4 linked regions of the Danio rerio genome follow. The protein of the gene in region 2 purifies or fractionates together with the protein of the main gene of each other region. This does not show direct contact. Links are inferred from orthologs where the notes say so. Each region holds a gene or a part of one and is shown on either strand. Other genes may lie near its edges.

Region 1 (4,892 bases), on a different chromosome or scaffold from region 2:
ACAGTAAAAAAAATTGCTTAAAGGGGCTAGTAATTTTTACCTTAAATGGTTAATAAAAAAAAAAAAAAAAGTAAAACTGCTTTTATTCTAGTCGAAATAAAACAAATAGGACTTTCCCAAGAAGAAAAAATATTTTCAGACATACTGTGAAAATTCCCTTGCTCTGTTAAACATAATTTGGGAAATATTTAAAAAAAAATAAAAAATTAAAAGGGGAGCTAATAATTCTGACCTCAACTGTATATCAACAATGCGGGTGTTTAGAGCCAAGTTGGTAAATCAGTCTGTTTGAATGGCCCTTGACAGAGCAATCTCACCCACTTAGCATGTGCATCTGCCGACCCGTCAGACACAGTATGACATCTATAGATTATTACAGACCACAGCAGTGATTGCGATCAATACTGTAAACAGACTAAGAGCAACTGTCACAAGGGAAGACATGACCTTCTGCTTCATGCACTGACCAATTTGAAGATTTCTCACTGCTTTGCTTCCATAAAATGTCATCTTTTAGGATTAGTGGAAAGAACAAACATTTAAGCGATTCTTTTATTATATTTGATCTATTTGCATCTGTAGATTTGAGTCACAGCGCACATCTTTATAAAGGTTGTTTTCTCCAGAGTTTCTGCAGGTTTCTTAAATTCAAATGTAAGACTTTTTAAGACCCTTTTAAGCCCATTACAACATAAATTTTAGACTTTTACAGGGCTAAACATTAGTAATTTTTTTTTAATAATGGCCCGGTTGGTTGCCACAAAAATAAATAAATAGATAAATGAATAATGTTATTATTTCTTAGTGCAATATTTAGTGTCAAAACAAGAAAACTTTTGTTGTATACACTTTTTTAAACTATAAGTTTTACATTGTTAAAAGTTAATTTGTTTAGACAGTGACATAAATAATCCAAAATATGCATTTGTTGAATTTTGGTCCAAATTGAGAATTTAATGAAGAGAAATTGCTGTAAAAAAAAAAAGTCAAACAGCTTGTAAATTGGATCTTTTTGCAAAAATAAAAAAAAATAAATAAATAAAAAAAAAAAAAAAAAAAATATATATATATATATATATATATATATATATATATATATATATATATATATATATATATATATATATATAAAAAATAAAAGTTTCATTGAGATGAATTGTTGATGGATGTCATTTCGATTGGGTAGCTTTACTTGGACAGATGAAAATTAAGACCTTTTTAAAATGATTTAAGATCTACAGCACAATATGTCAGTGAATTTAAGACTTTTTAGGGCCTAAAAGCTTGTTTTTGAAATTTAAGACCCCGCAGGAACCCTGTTCTCAAAATGGAAATATAATTTTTATTTTTTAGGCAGAAATTCAGTTCAGCAGCACAAACATGAAAATTCCACATAATTATTGACGAACTGCCTCACTGACCATATATTGTATGTTTTATTTGATTAAATTATTTAAGAGAACCATTATTTAAGACATTATTTTGCAGCATTCACTTCAAATATGAGAAATTTTGGAAATGTTCATCAGGGATGTATAATTGTAATGTTTGAAATGCGCTGTTTGACTGCTAACTTTAATTTTATGCCAAATAAGAATCACATTATATTTATGATAAAGAAAAAGCTTTCTTTTTAAAATTTATGTTCATTCATAAAGCAGAAAATTTAAACATTGCTGTAAACAAAAGATTGATTTTCATATTATATTATATTATATTATATTATGTCCAAGTATGAATTAAAGAGGAGAAAAAACATCCCTTTTTAAAAATGAATTACTTCCAATTCCTTGTTACATTATAACGGTTAATTTCACTACAGAGTAATTTTTTTTATTTTACTAAAAAAATGGAATTGTCTTTATTGACAGATTTTACAGAGACTAATTTAGTCCTCTTGCTGTTCCACCACTGTGCCCTTCTCGCTGACATAAATCCCATCCAGGAACTTTCAGATGTCTTTCTTTCTCACAGTGGTGGCCTGCTAGATCAGAGCAGTTGAGTTTGATACCAGCTACATGTAATTATCCTCCAAAACCAACTCATCTTTTTGAGTGGCAGACACTGCACACACAACTCCTTGCCTCATGCGGACATGGTGGATGCACTTCTCTCCCAAGAAGTTTCTGATCTCCATCAGTGAGCCAGACTCTTGGATGACCACATTAATGGGAAAATGGTCATATACAGATAGTATTTTGAAAGCCCAGGTTGACCCCCTTGATCATGTTCTGGACATGACTGCAGATGCTGCGGACTGTGGCCAACTCTTTTCTTTTAACCCACCACTTATCCACACGCAGCTTTTTTCTGTTTCTTGCCCAACAGACTGAGTTCCAGGTTAATGTGGTTGAACTACTGGTAGAGAACAGTACTGGGTCCCTAAATGGTAACTGTGCGGCCCTTGAGGGACAGCATGACATTGTCTGGGGTGTCCACTGTCTGCTTACTGAGAATGGTCTTCATTCTCGCAGATTGAGGGGGAAATCTCGCTGCTTAGTAAATGCTAAATACTTTTATGCACACTATTTTTTTCAAGGTGTTATTTACAAAGAGGGGTTTGTTCCTTTAACATTTAATAATATAACATTTTATTCTCCAACATATGGCGACATATTTACTTGCTGAATGCATGTTCTGAATTATACTGTAATGCAAATGTCAGTAAAGAATATATATACAATACAGCCTTAAATGCATTAACAAAATGAAACAAGAATATTGATCTGAGTTTTATGAAGTTATATTAAAATGTCTGCACACCTAACTAACCTGTAACACAAAACAGTTCTCTTGATGCACTGTGATAAGTTAACATGGGGAAATATATGGTTCTATACATAAAAACATGACATATTTTACCATGGAGTGACTCATTCCTGAGCTTACACTGTGCTAAAAACATTAATACCGTTCATGTATATTTAATTAATCAGTTGGGTCATTGTTATTTAATAGATCACGCGTTTATTAAAAAGATTTATGAATAAATTAATATACGAATTAAGAAAGTAAGGAAAAAGTCAGCTCCCCAAACAATACAGTCTTGCCACATGATCACAAACGTTCCTAGTAAAACCAACAGCATTTAGCAAATCAAGGCGAATGAAACAAATAAATGGGGAATGTTAATATTGATGGTGTGTAACATGTTGAATGATGTGTCACTCACACTTTATATGGTAACCGCGGGTCCGACGTCAGCGTGATTTTAAACGTTACTTTCGACCTGATGCATACAGAGAGTTTATTAACAGATTATAGACATTACATAACAAAAAATAATGTGCTGTTACAAGATAAACGTCTTTACTTACATTTTACAGGTTTGTATGAGAGATCCGCACACTGTTTACACTGACCCGGAAGACCCAGGGACCCGCTGTAACACGTCATCCGTTTGATGGACCTCTCTTTTCCGTTTTTCTTAATTTATCCTTTATTAATGGGCTAAAGCTATATTTAACGACTTGGATTATATTAATGTATTTTAGCAAAGTGTAAAAATATGAGATAATAAAAAATAATATAATGCGTTATGCGCATTTCACTCAGGCATATTTCAAGCGTCCCCAAGATGGACATACCGTAAAACATGTTGTTAATGCACCGGGGAATGAGTGTAAGCAATGAGAGCTGGAAAATAAAGAAAAGCAGAATTGCAAACACAGCAAGAAGTATTTGCACACCATAGACATTCTTTAAAATTATTATTAATTTTTTTTAAAGGGGTAGAGAGAACATAAGTAAAATGTTTTAAGGTGAAAGTGCGCTTGTATTACATATAAACGTTTACAAGTGAACTTTAGAAAGATAAAAATAGCCAAAACATTATATTGAATAGATTAGATATTTCATTACATGCGTTAGAATTATTAGAGGGAACCAAAGCTTAAATAAGTCCAAATAATGAACCATTACATAGATTAGAAATACTGGAAACTTAAATTTGTATTAAATGCAACTTCAGTTACTGCAAAATGCAGCTGCCAAAGTTCTTACCAGGCCTAGAAAATATTATATCACCCCAATTTTATTGTCCATTACACTGGCTGTCTGTTCCTTATCAGTTCAGCATTGATTATAAAATATTGCTTCTAACCGATAAAGCTTTTAATAATCTAGCTCCTGTTTATCTAAGCAATCTCGCTACAATCCAACCCATTCTATAAGAGCTCAAAGCTTCTGGAGGAGATTGAGCCTTCTCATTTGGCTACTAAACTCTGAAATAGCCTTCCTGATGATGTCCGAGGCTCAGACACACTCTCTTAGTTCAAAACTAGATTAAAGACCTATCTGTTTAGTAAAGCATACACACAATGCATCGCATAATGGTATGATGCATGAGTGTGTGACAACCACCTGTAGGACACACTCCTCTTGTTTTAATGCTCTACACATTCATTTTCTTGTCAGCTTAGTCCCTTTATTTATCTGGGGTCGCCACAGCAGAATGAACCACCAACTTATCTAGCACGTTTTTACGCAGCAGATGTCCTTCAAGCCACAACCCATCTCTGGGAAACATCCACAAACACTCATACACTACAGACAATTTAGCTTAACAATTCACCAAATCACCTGTACCACATGTCTTTGGACTGTGGAGGAAACCAGAGCACATATAGGAAACCCACACGAACGCAGAGAGAACATGCAAACTTTTCACAGAAACGCCAACTGAGCCGAGGATTGAACCAGCGACCTTCTTGCTGTGAGGCGACAGCAATACCTACTGTACCACTGCTTCGCCATGCACTAGACATCTTGTTATAAGCACCCATACTGTATGCTTAACATGTTTGTTTTCATGTTTGTTTATATAACTACTATTCTCATTTATAACACTCCATTTTTGCAGCTCGTTAATACACACTATGAAGACTGATTCC
Region 2 (4,829 bases):
TTGCTCATGCTCATTGTGCAATTCATATACAAAACAAATAAAGTGAAATGAATGAGGAGGGATGTGGACATTACACACAATCTTAAGTCATTTTAGCACGCCATAAAGTCAATTTCATGCATATAAACTATATTTTCCCAATAACAGAATTGCAGGTAGTGAAAATGGCATGTGGCTATAATGTTGGAAAACTACCAGCCATGATGGCTGGTGATCAAAAAAATTTATGTCAAGCCCTGTTAGTAATGATTACAAAATATAATGTTGTCTAATAAATATGTTGTACCGAACCAGCGTCTGATAAACACTACTATTTATGGAATGTTTATTGGGGCGTCAAAATGCAGGGTTTTTTATTATCCAATTTTGTGTCAAATATGGACAAATTAATAAACTATTAATCAATAAACTATTTATGTTTAAAAAAATTGACAGAAGTCTTTATATAAACTTTTATTGCAAAACATTACCAGCTCCTAGTGAAATAAGTGTGTAAATGAATAAGTACTGGTAATTACTATGTATTAGTATGAATATGTTACTAATGAAAAATACTATCTGTCTGCAGACGCTTATTTAATATTTACGTGTAATGAATATGCATGTAATGGAAAAGTAGTTTGTTATGAATAACAAGAAGTAATACCTATACTTACAATAATGTTAAGATGCTTGTCAGCCTAGTTTTAAAAAAAATAAGTAGGCCTGAAATGATGTCTGTAGGTTTATAAATTGAGTGTTAAAACAGCTTGCCATCAAGGCAGACACATAATAGAGATAAGATTTGCTGTGAACTGGCAAACAGAAAAATCTATAAAACCACCTTGTTCAAATATAACCGAGTAAGAGCTGGCTGTTTAACATAAATGTACATACACATAAAGTGTACATTATAAATTGTGCAAGCAGAAATAAGCACAAAAGTACGATAAAATGATGCTATTCATTGATATTTACTGTCCATTGGCAGGTCTATATGAAATAAAATGCCTACTTATATTTTGTGTCAAGCTAATAAAAAAAGAAGTTGCGCCATCTTGTGGACAATTCTACTTAGCTGTCTCTGATAATAGCCTATATTAAAAAATAACATTTATTTCAGGCAGGCTACTGCGAATAAAAGTGAAATTCGGGGATTAAAATGTATTTATTTGGGTTACTTAATTTTTATGTTATGTTTTTGTTATGCTAACGATGAAAGCATTTGATTGGAGACTGGAGAGTAGGCTATTCATATGTAAATTATAACTTAATAGTTTTGAGTTTTTGTAGCAATTTGAGATGAGTTATGGGCTATAGTGAGTTTGAATATGCTCGTTTGACGAGTGTTCAATTTAAACCCTGATAATTCGTGTTTAAAATACAATTAATTAGCCATTCTCTTTTTACCAAATTTGTAAATTGTCTATAAGTACATCTATTTTTAATGTCGCAAATATATTTGTGTTTATTATTTATTTATTTATTTATTTATTTATTTATGTATTTATTTATTTATTTATTTATTTATTTATTTTTAATCAATCTACATCAATGTTTCTCCAACAAAGGTCGGAGACCTCGCAAAACAATCTTGTTTATTCATATTTTATGAATTTGATAACAAATATTTCTGTTAATGTAAAAAGAAACAAACCCTTTAAACTACAAAACGAGCCTTTAAAAGGGCGAATAAAATGTGAAGAAAAAAACAGTTGGTGTTGACTTTTATTTTGGCGTTACAAGGAAGTAAATACAGGTTCTTCTATCCTTGCAGTTTATTGGTGTTTCAGCACAAGGATCGTTTGACGCATTAGTGTCATGTCCGTTGATTGGCCAGATGTGGATGTACGTGTCAGTGGAAATGTAAACTTGTGCTGAATCCTGTCGAATTGCTGTACAAGCATGGGGTCGTTTTAGTAATTCTTTTAACAAAATAACGACAGCAACGTTTGCAATGGAGGTAAAACAATAACATTATTAATATCATTATAAATTAAGTCATTTTTTTTTATCAGACTTCGTACTCTTTGGGTAAAGAAAACTCATCATGTTTAAAGACTCTGACAAGCTGTCATAACTGGATGACTGTTATTTTATTAATAAACATACACTTTTTCAATAATTCCATAATAATGTGTGAAAAGTTGATGTGACTGTTGTTAGCATGTATAATGTACATTTATTATTAAAAATCTCGTTTAACAGAACATCCAGAATCTCCCTATTGACATCCAAACCAGTAAACTCTTGGGTGAGACTGCTTTATACTCATTTGTGCAGGTTTAACTTAGACTTATTATCATGCGATTTGTAGCTATATTGTTAGCTAAATGTGGCTCAGCTTGAATAAACAACAGCTTAGATCTTGCACAGATGTAATGTCTTATTCCTCTTCTTCTACTTTTTCCTCTTCCTCTCCTCTATATTTTAGACTGGTTGGTGGACCGAAGACACTGCACACTGAAATGGCAAAGTGCAGTTATGACCATCAGAGAGAAAATTAACGCTGCCATTCAGGATATGCCAGAAAACGAAGAGATCAAACAGCTGCTCTCCGGCTCATGTAAAGAAAAAGTTATATATTCCTGTTATTTGTATTTTATTTAATTTTGGATGTACTCATACTGAATTTTGTTGCAGATATTCACCATTTCCATTGCTTACAAATAATCGAAGTATTAAAAGGAACGGAAGCGTCCACCAAAAATATTTTTGGCAGATATTCATCACAAAGGATGAAGGTGCTGTTTATTTGCATTTTAATGTGCAGTTTATTACACTTAAAATTGTACATAGTCTACATACTTATTATTGCTAATAAAATATCCTTACTTTCTATCACATATACTATGGAAAATAAAAACATGAGACCGCTTAAAAATTCTCAGTGTCTCTGGATTTACAATTTAAAGTTGTATGACTGGGGAAAAACCTAATTTTCATTTTATTCTGTAAACTACTAATAGCTTTTATACCATAATAGCGATATTTTAAATTCAGCAGAGTTAAGGAATAAGTATTTCTATGTTGTGTTTTTTTCTCTTTGTACTATTTAGAAGAAATGCTGTCAGTTTACTCAAACCCATAACTAAAAATGGCAAAACTCCAGAGAAGCAAAGAATGTTTAAGTGGCCCTTAATGTTTCCATTCATGTATATTTATCAACTCTGAAGTCTGAACTTTACTAAACTTCTATCTTAAGCTGCTTTGACACAATCTACATTGTAAAACCACTATATAAATAAACATGAATTGAATTGAATATTTACATATATTTAATTAACTGTAATATACTTCATCAACAGGACTGGCAAGAGATAGTGTCCATGTATGAAAAAGACAATGTCTATTTGGGTAAGCAATCATCAAATCACCATCACCAAATTTTTTTAAATTTTAGACTACACAATCAAAGTGAGATGATAGTATGCATGTGTGTTTTTAATTCCAGCTGAAATGGCCAGTATTTTGGTTCGTAATGTAAGTTATGAAGGGCCAGCTTTAAGGAAGCAGGTGTCTAAAGCTCAACAGCTGCAGCAGGAGCTGAGCCGACGTGAGCTGGAGTGTCAGAGCGGTTCTGCCGACATGAGAGAACGCTATTATGCTGCCTGTAAACAGTACGGCATAAAAGTGAGCTATGATTGTCATTTATTGTAACATAATGGCTTTTACACATACTAACAAATAACATTTGTGTTTCACAGGGGGAAAACGTGGCAAGGGAGTTGCAAGCACAGGTTAAAGATCTGCCTGTGGTTTTAGAAGAAACTGGAAAAAAAGCTGCCTGTCTGAAAGATGCCATAGAGTTTTACACAGCATTCACTAAGTTTGTCAGCGACTGGCAAGTGTTACTTTCATTTCTAATGTTGCACCTGATTCTTTTAATCGATATTGTGAAATGTTTGTCATAGTTTACTTGCTTTTTCAGGTCGGAGGAAGTACTGCCCTTACTGAGGTTTGTCCAGAAGAAAGGAAACACAACTGTATATGAGAGAAAGACTGGAAATGTGCCTAAAGTTGTAGAGAGACCTGTAATGGAGGAAGCACCCCCAGATGTTGTTACAGAGGAGACGGTAAGTCACTATTCAAGATTTTAAGTTTTTTTTTTTTTTTTTTACATAGGACTTAAACAAAGGATCAGTATTGTCTCTCCCTCCAGAATCTCACTGTTTTTCTTGGTTCTTGCAGATTGACTGGGGTGATCTTGGCAGCGGTGCTGGTACTGGTAGTGAAGAGGTAAATTTTGGGATTTCTGTTGAGGATGGTGTGGATTGGGGTATCGGTCTTGAGTCTGGTACTGAGGTAAGCACCCTAAATATTTACTACAGATATATTCAGACCCCTCAAGACATAGAATTAAAAGGGTCTTCCAATCTACTTTAGGAAACAAGTGGTGGTGGTATTAACTGGGGAGACTCTGAATCTGCCCCATTGGAAATTGAAGTTGTGGATGTGGGCACAGACTGTAAGTTTCCTTGGGTGTTTAAAGTTTGTTCATTGAGCAGCAAATTAATAATGAAAGAATTCAGCTTTGGCATTACATATCAAAATGTATGATTTTTTTTTTACTTTGAATTGAAATTATATTACACTACTATTGCTTTCATAGTTTTTGAAATACTGTGAATTAGAGAAAAAAGTTTCAAAAACCTTTTAAAATATTACAAATTGCTAACCGTAGTGCATGTTTACATGAAAATAATTTTGAGTTTCTGTCCTTGATAATAAAATAAATCTGTTATTATAAATTAATAAATCCCAAAGAATAGTATTTAATTGATTTTCAATTTAGTAAATTAGTAGAATCAGTTAAAACTAGGCATATATGTAATCAGAACTTGGAAGAC
Region 3 (4,921 bases), on a different chromosome or scaffold from region 2:
TGTGAGGGGGACAAAAATGCAGGAGTGATTTTTTTTGGACAAGCGTTACCTGCTTCGTTTCCTTTGCATCTACACCGTTTTCTTTTACATCGACGCCTTATTTAACTTTTCTGTCTGTTTTTTTCCTCTCTCTGCCTTTCTAAAAAAATAGAGATTTTAATACACTTTCCTGCACTTAGTTAAACGAGTTATGCATGTAAAATGAAGCGCCTCGTTTTCTATTAGGCTATATATAGTTTTTTAAGGTTAAACTCTTAATTAACATACGGGTTTAGTTTGCACCGGGTATTTGAGTAGCCAGAAAAAAAGAAACAATTATCAATTCAACACTACAGTACAGTTAAGAATAAAGGCTAACAAACATCCCGCACAAACTAAATGTTTCTTTTGTCAGTTAACCCACACAGTTTAACCACACAGAGCTAACAAACAGCTAACCACGTTAAGCAAAATTATTTAAATTATGCCTTGGTATAAATAGAAAGTTTCATTTTTATTAGTCGTACAATATTATAAACTTAATAAAAGCATGTTTAACCGGAAGAAATGAAAAAAGAAAGAGCTCGCCAAAAATATTGGATGTCCTTGCGTTGCAAGCCATTTGATTCAATGTTTGTCGCCATGCTTTTCAGGTTAAAAACAAATAGGTGGATATGTTATTTAATTATTTATTTATCTTTGGACATAATGCTGTCTACACTTTTTATTATGCGAACTATAGGCTAGCATGAGCGTATGATGGTTTGTGTCTGTAGCCTTTTATTGAAGTTCCCATTGACTAGCTAATAATAAATAATAATAATAAATAAACTTAAAAGATACAGAAATAAAATTTTAAATGATTAGAATCTCCAAACTACATGAATGACCATGTGCTATTGAGAATTATAAGTACTTGAGTGCATTAATAAGGTTACCACCTAAAGTAGCCTAGGCTATGCAGTGATGCAGTCTTTAAACATTTTAAACACGATTGAGTAATTCAACCACGTCTACGTTGCCAGTCTGTTGTGCCACATCCACTGGTCGTAAATCGCAGTGATCTTTTGTATTGGGGTCGGCGCCGAAGCGGATTAAAAGCCGCACGGTGTCAATGAATCCGGTTCTGGCAGCGTCGTGCAGAGGTGTGCTCCCTGTGTCGGGGTCAGGCACATTAGGGTCCGCTCCCTGTTCCAGCAGCACAAGAGCCAAAGGTGCGTTACCCATCATCATCACCTGGAGAGGGGGAAAATTGCTGTCTCATGAAAAAATAAACGCCAGTAACGTCATGATGTCACTGTAAAGAAGTTTGTTTAATCAATAATTTTACTGCCATCACTCGAAATCTGGAAAGTAGATACTTTTTGGTTAAATAGGAACGAAAGCAGTGCACATGCTGGCACTGAACATTGCTGTGCATGATGCATTACTCTTTTAGCCTATCAATAAATTATTCACGGGCAGTAAATCAATTAAATGCAACAAATTGTGTTGTAGCTAATTCTTATTTTTCATATGATTAATTATGAAGATTCCTATAATCATTTTAAATAAAATGTATGCCATAAATATGCTTTGTTCACATTTGTGATTTTCTTAAACATCTTTCGTTTAATTGACATTTTTCTGAGGCAATTCATGCTCGTCAGAAGTTTTACAATTGCCTAATCTTTTACGATTTCTGGATGTATGCTGTCCATCTGTTTAAAGTGTGCTAAAAGATATCTATACGCACTTTATTGTAGGCTACCTCTTCGGCTTTTGATGTCCCGTAACCGAGAGCATGAACCGTAAAACCATTGGACATTGTGAAAATTAGATGAAAACTTTCACACCAAATATTATAATAATAGGCCTACACGATTATAAAAACAAGCAAAAATAAGTATGGTCTAAAATATATACTCCATTAGTCTATGACTGTGCTAGTGGTGGCTGATTATTTTGGTCAATATAGGCCAACTGTACAAATGTCAAAATATTAAACGTACATTCGTAAAAACAAGCATGGCAATAAGAGGAAAAGGGTTTTCGCAGTGATGCCCTTCTGGTTCCGCACAGAAAACCTATTACAAAGCTTCCAAAAGAAGTATTTTTATTGTCAAAAAATGAAATAAACATTTTAATAGTTTAAAGGCACATTTTTCAAAAATTTTCTCCATAGATGCAAAAGGTTCTTCTTAAAACCATCGATGCCAACAAAGCTTTCGGGAGTGAATTAGCAAGTAGTGTGCCATTCTTCTCGCACATAGAGATATGATTTAATAGTTTAAAATTTATCTGAAATTAAGATCTATAAAATGTCTTATTTATTTATTGTTATGTATATAAATCTATCTATCTATCTCTTATATATAATTGTAAACATTTGGTTTTTATACACAGTTATAGTACATTGGGACTTTCGTTTTCAATAAGATTTTAGTTTTCTTTGAATAATTTGAACTTTGACAATACATCCAAAACTCCTTGTCTTATTTCGGACTAATTTCTAAGAATGTAGCTATAAGTTAAAATTATAATGTTAAAATTAATGACATTACTAAAAGATAGAAAGTGTTGTTAGTATTATATAGGTTGATAACACGCTATTGGTAAACATGTTTCAGGCCGTTTAAGTAGCCTAAAAGGTTCTTAAACATGCTAAAATGAGTAAAATAAATACACAAATAGCCTAATATTTAAAAAAAAAAAAGAAAAGTAAATCCCATATAGTCAAACAGGTGTGAAAATATGAAATAGCCTAAATTTGTTAAATAATATGACCTTTAATACAAAATAAGTCTTTGAATTGTATGTTACTAATTTAATGTTACATATCTGCAATTAATCTTATTTATTTATTTGCATTTGTTTATTTCCGTTGTTTATTCTTAAAGCGCGTCTAAACCTACCTGTATAGGCGTTCTTCTAAATTTGTTAACCACATTGGCATTCACTCCGTTAGAAAGTAAAAACTGAACATGGGAAATGTTTCCGGTGGCTGCTGCTGTGGTCAGTTCATCCTCGACGTTCATCATCTTTATTGATTTTCGAAATTAATTCGCTTCACAGGTAAAACCAAATGATGATGATACTGCGAAAACAATCAGTTCAACGCTGTAATTTATTTTTATCGGTCTCCATGAATAACATGTTCCAATATAATGCGTAAATAAGCGAAACTGACTCGTTTATCAAAGTGTTGTGTCTTAAAATAATTTTTCGTAGCGAGATATTTGTTCGGACTTGTCTCTGTCATAAACGTCACAGCAAAACCGTGGTGCAGTACTGTCATACTGCGCCTGCGCACAACAGCTGAGTCAGGAAGACATGAGTTTACGACACAGTAGGAGAGGCTGCAGAGAAACAGAAATTAGGTTCTGCTAATGTTTTATGGCTAATGTAACTGGCATTAGCCTGCTTTTAGATCACAAGAAGTTTTTTTATTCTTTTTTTCGGGTACATAAGCATATCACAACGCTAATTATGCTAACATAATTGGGTTTTGTGCCATGGAGAAGTTACTCTTCGGGAATAGGCTAACGTTACCAGGAAAAATCTCTCGTTTTTCAAGAGTAAAGTTATTTTATGGATTTTGATTAAGACGCGATGTTAGCTAGGCCTGTAGAGATTAAGTTTGACTTGGCTACTTTAAAGTATATTATTTAGCCATTATGCTGTGTGGGGCGCTTAAGTTAAACTATATTTTTGATCCACATAAATTATAACAAAAAAGCATATACATACATTCGTGGTAGCCTATATTTATATTTTTTTCATAATGGTTGTTCTGTTTTTGATTGTAGATGAACATAAATCTATTTTCTGCACGATAGAAAGGACGCGAATGGCCATAATTTTGCCCAAACATCGTCTGACTTACAGTTTTGTAATGCTATTTCCCCATCACACGACTGTAGCTAAACTATAGCCTGTATCCAGAAACAAGGTATTAAACAATTGTAGCAAATAGTTTTTAATTTTAGCAGTGAGTTTGTTGCCTCTCTAATACGTTGAAAATAAGTAAAAAGATAAAGGGTCCTGTGGCTGTGTAGATCATTTACATAAAGTAAAAATCACATTCTGAGATGCACCTGTTTAAAATGAAGAACAGTGTGCTTTTGTATTTAATTTTCTAACTTATTCATGTTTTGATGTTGTTAACATGTTAATAATATTGGTTAATGTGCATGCAAAATAGATACTAAAATATGAAATAGTAAATAAAATAATCATAACAAACCAACGCAGTACAATATTAAAGAAAAAAAATAGTTGGCAAAGCCCCACTGGCTAAGTGTTAATAATAGAAAATTTAATTTAAATGTCATAGAAGCAACGATTAAAAATGAATTATTTTACTTAGTTTTGTTGAATAGATATTAAACAACATGTAGAAATAGAATAGTTGAACTATGTAACTAAAAGATATCCTGCACAAAGTTTACTTCACAACTCCAGTAAATAGGCATGAGCATTTTAATATTTAATACCACAGTTGAAATTCCTACATTAAAAGGGGGAAAAAAGAAGTTTTGATTTGATTTATTTATTTTGGATCAAAAATATACATAAAATATCATAAAAAAATAAAATAAAATAAAAAACATTTTCGAAAATGGACTGGGATGAAGCACAAGCCTATTATTTTCCCACCCCGTTACCACATACTTCATTCGTCTATTACTTAAACCTATTTCTTCTTTCACTCATCTCTTTTTTTTACATGAGACATATTTTATCCTTTTGGCATCTTTGACATGTTTAAATCCATTTGTACCTTTACATTTTGTAACATAGACCTAAAAAAAAAACAAAAAAAAAACATAGTACTGCAAATAGCCATTAATTAAAGTTTCATCATACCATTTTCAATCACCTTCATCATTATATTCCTTTTATAATATATATTTATTTATACAACTTTTTAAACTGATTACCATGCTGACATTGTTTGAGA
Region 4 (4,259 bases), on a different chromosome or scaffold from region 2:
TGCTTTGGATCATTGTCCTACTGCTGAACCCAAATTTGCTTCAGCCTGAGGTCACTAACAAATGGCCAGAAATTGTCCTTCAGGATATTTCTGTACACAGCAGAATTCATGGTTCCATTTATCACAGCAAGTCTTTCAGGTCCTGAAGCAGCAAAACCGCCACAGACCATCACTCTACCACAACCACATTTTACTCTTGGTATGATGTTCTTTTTCTGAAATGCAGTGCTACTTTTATGCCACACATAATAGGACACAAACCGTTCAAAAGTTTTGTCTCATCAGTCCACAAAATATTTTCCCCAAAGTGTTTCCCAAAACTGAGACGAACCTTTGTGTTCTTTTTGCTCAGCAGTGGTTTTTGTCTTGAAACTCTGCCATGCAAACACTTTTTGCCCAGTCTCTTTCTTATGGTAGAGTCATGAACACTCACCTTAACTGAGGCAAGTGAGGCCTGCAGTTCTTTGGATTCTTCTTTTCTAACCTTTTGGAAGAGATGTCGCAGGTCATTTTGGTGGCCGACCACTCCTGGGAAAATTCTATACTGTCCTACGTTTTTGCCATTAGTAGATAATAGCTCTCACTGTGGTTTGCTATAGTCCCAAATCTTTCTAGATCTCAATATTTTTTTCTTAACTTGTTTTTGAGTTTTCTTTAGATCTCTGCATGATGTCTAATTTTTGAGGATCTTTTGGTCTACATCACTTTGTCAGGCAGGTCCTATTTTAGGTGATTTCTTGACTTCGAACAGGTGTAGCCATAATCAAGCCTAAAAATTGAACTCAGGTGTAATAAACCAGAGTTAAGTTATGTTTAAACAGGTGAGGGTTGTGTGTGTGTGTGTGGGGGGGGGGTGTAATAGTGGAAACACTTTTAAACATAGGGCTAAGTAGTTTTTTATTTTGTTTTCCCTTAATAAAAAAGCCTTTATTTAAAAACTAAAAACTGCATGAAGTGTTTATTTGTGTTTTCTTTGACTTAATTTTGACTAAATTTGTTGGATGATCAGAACTTTTAAAGTGTGAGAACATGCAAAAAAATAAGTGAGGTGGCAAAAGCTTTTGGTTATTAAATCAAAGAGAAAGATGGTGGACTAAAGGAGTGCATGACTAAGCGCTATCTGCAGTCAGGTTCTCTTACCGTGGCCTCATTACAGACGGTGCACTTCACCACATGCTGATGGAGTTTGCCATCCAGAGTTATAAGAGATTGGCACACTCGACAGTTGATGACTGGCACTCCTCCTGCATCTGGACTGGCAATGGCTGTGTAGGGCGGAGGTAATTCAGCTGCAGATGAAGACAAAAAACAAAATACAGTCTTTCAGCTGACCTGTCACAATAATAGATCAATTGTCTGATAGTAGTTATTTGCTGTGCAGTATAGGTTTCACATATGATAGGTTTGAGCACATAAACAAAAGACAAGCAATGATTTATGTGCATAATGCTCAGAAACATTTACTGGTTTTATGTTAAAGACCCTTAATCTTTCACACACAGTTAATGATAAAACAAGGACACACTTATTTATATGACCATCAACTGGTGAGTATCTTCCTTGAGCAAAAACATTTTTACATAGAATTACAGAAATCTCTAATTTGCTCTGAAAACATCATGTATCATGTAAGTTAGAATAAAATATAACAGTGCAAAAAATTAATAACAACAAATCTCCTTTTAAAATCATTTGTTTAATAATCAATCGTTAGGACAAAATTGATGAACATTCATGGTCACATGACATTGACAATTATTTAAAACAACAAAATTCCCTACAGAATGCAAAAGTCAGGTTATGAACATAATAGTAAAAAAATAATTAGAAATTGTAGTTTTTAACAATAACCGAAAAACTTTAAAGACATGCAGAGGTTGTTAATCGACTGTATATGTTCACATGAATTCAACTTATTTTAAAGCAATCTCTCATTTTGTGCACTTTGCTTGCTGTAACTTTCTGACTAAGAAAAGTTTTTGAGGAATCATATATGGTTATTGACAGTGATTACAATCAAATAAAAAAGTCATTTAAAGTTCAAAGATCTAATAACCCCCAGGCCTAGTTTGACAGGTCTTGTAAGACTCCAGATTTTTTCCCGGTGAGTATGCAGGGTTTTCCTATCAGTGCTCTATAAAGAAATAATAGTAGAATTTATTAACATGATGTAGTGTACAACATGGTGTATTTTTTTCTGCTCAAATTTGCATATTAACTTTGACAATTTCTACCAATCAGAGAGGTGCAGGTAGCAAAGTGCATTGCAAACTCAGCTCCACCCACTCCCATGAAGCATGCTTGAAACATGATGGATACAACCAACGACTTTAAATGAACAATTGTATAGTTCTCCAATCATTTTAAATTGTAACATTTGCATAACTTCATGGGATTGTAGTTCTTTGCCTCTATTAGGTTGTCAAGTCTTGTACTTTTGTTTTTATCATGTTTTTATATGTTTCTTTGCTTCAAATGAAATTCATAATGTTGTGATTCACCATACAGTTGGTTGGTTTGGTTTGTGGCTCATAACACTTTAATCATAACACTTTAATCAAAAGATCTAAGATAAAAAACAATGGGAAAAATATTTTCAAATCCAGTACTACTGAAAAAGTTACAAAATCAAGTACATTTTCTCATGTTCGAGATGTTGTCACTGGGATTTACTTCACAACAGTGAAAAACAAACTATTATTGTGTCTATGTAATGTTGACTTTAAAATATTTTTTTACTTTAATAATACTACTGCATAAATAAATCAGCTACACTCTATGAAATAACTTATGACATCTGTTATCATGGGCCCCACCTGTAATTATTTATGATCATAGATTTTTACTGGGGCACATGCCCTATATCCAACCACATTGGCTAGCCCGCGTGGGGCCCACCTGTAATTGTTTATGATAATACTTTACATTTAAGTACAGCAGATTTCTTTGAACTTTTTAAGAACAGTGCTATTTTTAATTAACTTTTAAAATCACATTTTTATTTATCACATATTTATTATGTATTTATTATGTTTAAAGTGGCTGACAATAATAAATATTCATAATAATAATAATCAATCTGCCACATTTGTGAACTGTGCAGTAGCCGCTTAATTAGGCTTACTATGTATTTCAATACCAGTCATTATGGTGGTACTTGAAGAGACAAGTTTTCCTGAGGTGGTACTTGGTGAAAAAAGTTTGAGAACTACTGGTCTAAACAATATTTTTTTAGAGTGGAGTTCAATCCATAAACCCACACTTTGTATCATTATCTGCTTATTGTCTGCATAAAAGACCCTATCCATGTGTGACTTTTTTAACTTTATAGAAGTAAAGTATAAACTGGCTTGAGTAGTGCAAGTATTGGATTGTTAACGTACATTCAGCTGGCCATTATTGCAAAATAACCCCAGACAGGGTGACTGGGTTTTGTTTAAGAGGCTAATTTTGCCATGATGACCAGCTCAGTTCTATTATTCCATGTATTATTCCTCTATTGCATGGCTATTTATCAAATACATAATTGAAAGAGCATGAAATATTGATTTGAGTTTAAATAACTCAATTATGTGAGAAGAAAGAAACCACAGAGGAATAATAGAGACATGAAAGAAGAGCAGTTCACAAGAATTTAGCGGTCATTACACAAAAATCTTTGACTTTGAATGCCACAATTGACCAATAAGCCATATAAAAACCAAGGAGAATCCTTTTTCTCAATCACAGAGCCATAAAAATGAATCAAAGTCATCTAGACATCTAGCGTTTTGTCTTTTAGGCCAATGCCAAGACAAAATATATGTAACGTTTCTATTATATATGTGTCTTCTTGCTGGCAATCCTCATCCAAATAAATGCAGATTCACTGTGTTCAACAATAAGTGCAGCCTATTCACACTTTCATCTACAGTACAGTATCTGGGCCTTTAGCCAATCCCTGCACTCAGTCTACTCGCGCCTTCAGAATTACTCAAATCCAGAGCTCAGTCACAACAGAGCTCAGCCTGCTGCTTATGCTCATTGAAATTGAAACATGTTCCTCCTACTGACCGTCACTTCATATTTTGTGCGATCACGTTGGTGACAGTCATACGGCAGCCATATTGAACATGTGACACCACAGCAAAAGCAACCGACAGCAGCTCTAGCCTCATGACCTCACTCAGCTGTCGACATCATCCGAACTAGATACTAGCAACACATAATGTCAAGAAATGAGATCTGTTGAAAGGTAAAATGATTCTTAGTCATTTTAA

What was found.
Region 1: the proteins of cdk5rap3 (region 2) and ufm1 purify together in Homo sapiens (co-immunoprecipitation; 3 studies listed by BioGRID and IntAct, with this or other methods). This does not show direct contact. The link is inferred for Danio rerio from reciprocal best matches to the Homo sapiens genes CDK5RAP3 and UFM1.
Region 3: the proteins of cdk5rap3 (region 2) and cdkn2a/b purify together in Homo sapiens (affinity purification with western blotting; 3 studies listed by BioGRID). This does not show direct contact. The link is inferred for Danio rerio from reciprocal best matches to the Homo sapiens genes CDK5RAP3 and CDKN2A.
Region 4: the proteins of cdk5rap3 (region 2) and pip4p2 purify together in Homo sapiens (affinity purification with mass spectrometry; 3 studies listed by BioGRID and IntAct, counting the BioPlex papers as one, with this or other methods). This does not show direct contact. The link is inferred for Danio rerio from reciprocal best matches to the Homo sapiens genes CDK5RAP3 and PIP4P2.

Annotation. Positions count from the first base shown.
Region 1 is NC_133185.1:30,887,878-30,892,769, reverse strand, and holds the start of ufm1 (ubiquitin-fold modifier 1), read right to left. Parts: upstream 3,351-4,892; 5' UTR 3,320-3,350; coding exon 3,318-3,319; intron 3,230-3,317; coding exon 3,173-3,229; intron 2,478-3,172; exon of another isoform or gene 2,467-2,477; coding exon of another isoform or gene 2,314-2,466; intron 2,313-2,313; coding exon of another isoform or gene 2,203-2,312; intron 2,202-2,202; coding exon of another isoform or gene 1,889-2,201; exon of another isoform or gene 1,852-1,888; intron 1-1,851. UniProt on the Homo sapiens protein: Ubiquitin-like modifier which can be covalently attached via an isopeptide bond to lysine residues of substrate proteins as a monomer or a lysine-linked polymer.
Region 2 is NC_133187.1:30,656,348-30,661,176, forward strand, and holds the start of cdk5rap3 (CDK5 regulatory subunit-associated protein 3), read left to right. Parts: upstream 1-1,837; 5' UTR 1,838-1,936; coding exon 1,937-1,942; intron 1,943-2,187; coding exon 2,188-2,233; intron 2,234-2,413; coding exon 2,414-2,545; intron 2,546-2,622; coding exon 2,623-2,723; intron 2,724-3,287; coding exon 3,288-3,336; intron 3,337-3,433; coding exon 3,434-3,612; intron 3,613-3,686; coding exon 3,687-3,823; intron 3,824-3,910; coding exon 3,911-4,055; intron 4,056-4,170; coding exon 4,171-4,284; intron 4,285-4,365; coding exon 4,366-4,447; intron 4,448-4,829. UniProt on the Homo sapiens protein: Substrate adapter of E3 ligase complexes mediating ufmylation, the covalent attachment of the ubiquitin-like modifier UFM1 to substrate proteins, and which is involved in various processes, such as ribosome recycling and reticulophagy (also called ER-phagy).
Region 3 is NC_133176.1:27,775,654-27,780,574, forward strand, and holds the start of cdkn2a/b (cyclin-dependent kinase inhibitor 2A), read right to left. Parts: upstream 3,262-4,921; 5' UTR 3,000-3,261; coding exon 2,874-2,999; intron 1,216-2,873; coding exon 964-1,215; 3' UTR 1-963. UniProt on the Homo sapiens protein: Acts as a negative regulator of the proliferation of normal cells by interacting strongly with CDK4 and CDK6. This inhibits their ability to interact with cyclins D and to phosphorylate the retinoblastoma protein.
Region 4 is NC_133194.1:33,869,834-33,874,092, reverse strand, and holds part of pip4p2 (type 2 phosphatidylinositol 4,5-bisphosphate 4-phosphatase), read right to left. Parts: intron 1,290-4,259; coding exon 1,141-1,289; intron 1-1,140. UniProt on the Homo sapiens protein: Catalyzes the hydrolysis of phosphatidylinositol-4,5-bisphosphate (PtdIns-4,5-P2) to phosphatidylinositol-4-phosphate (PtdIns-4-P).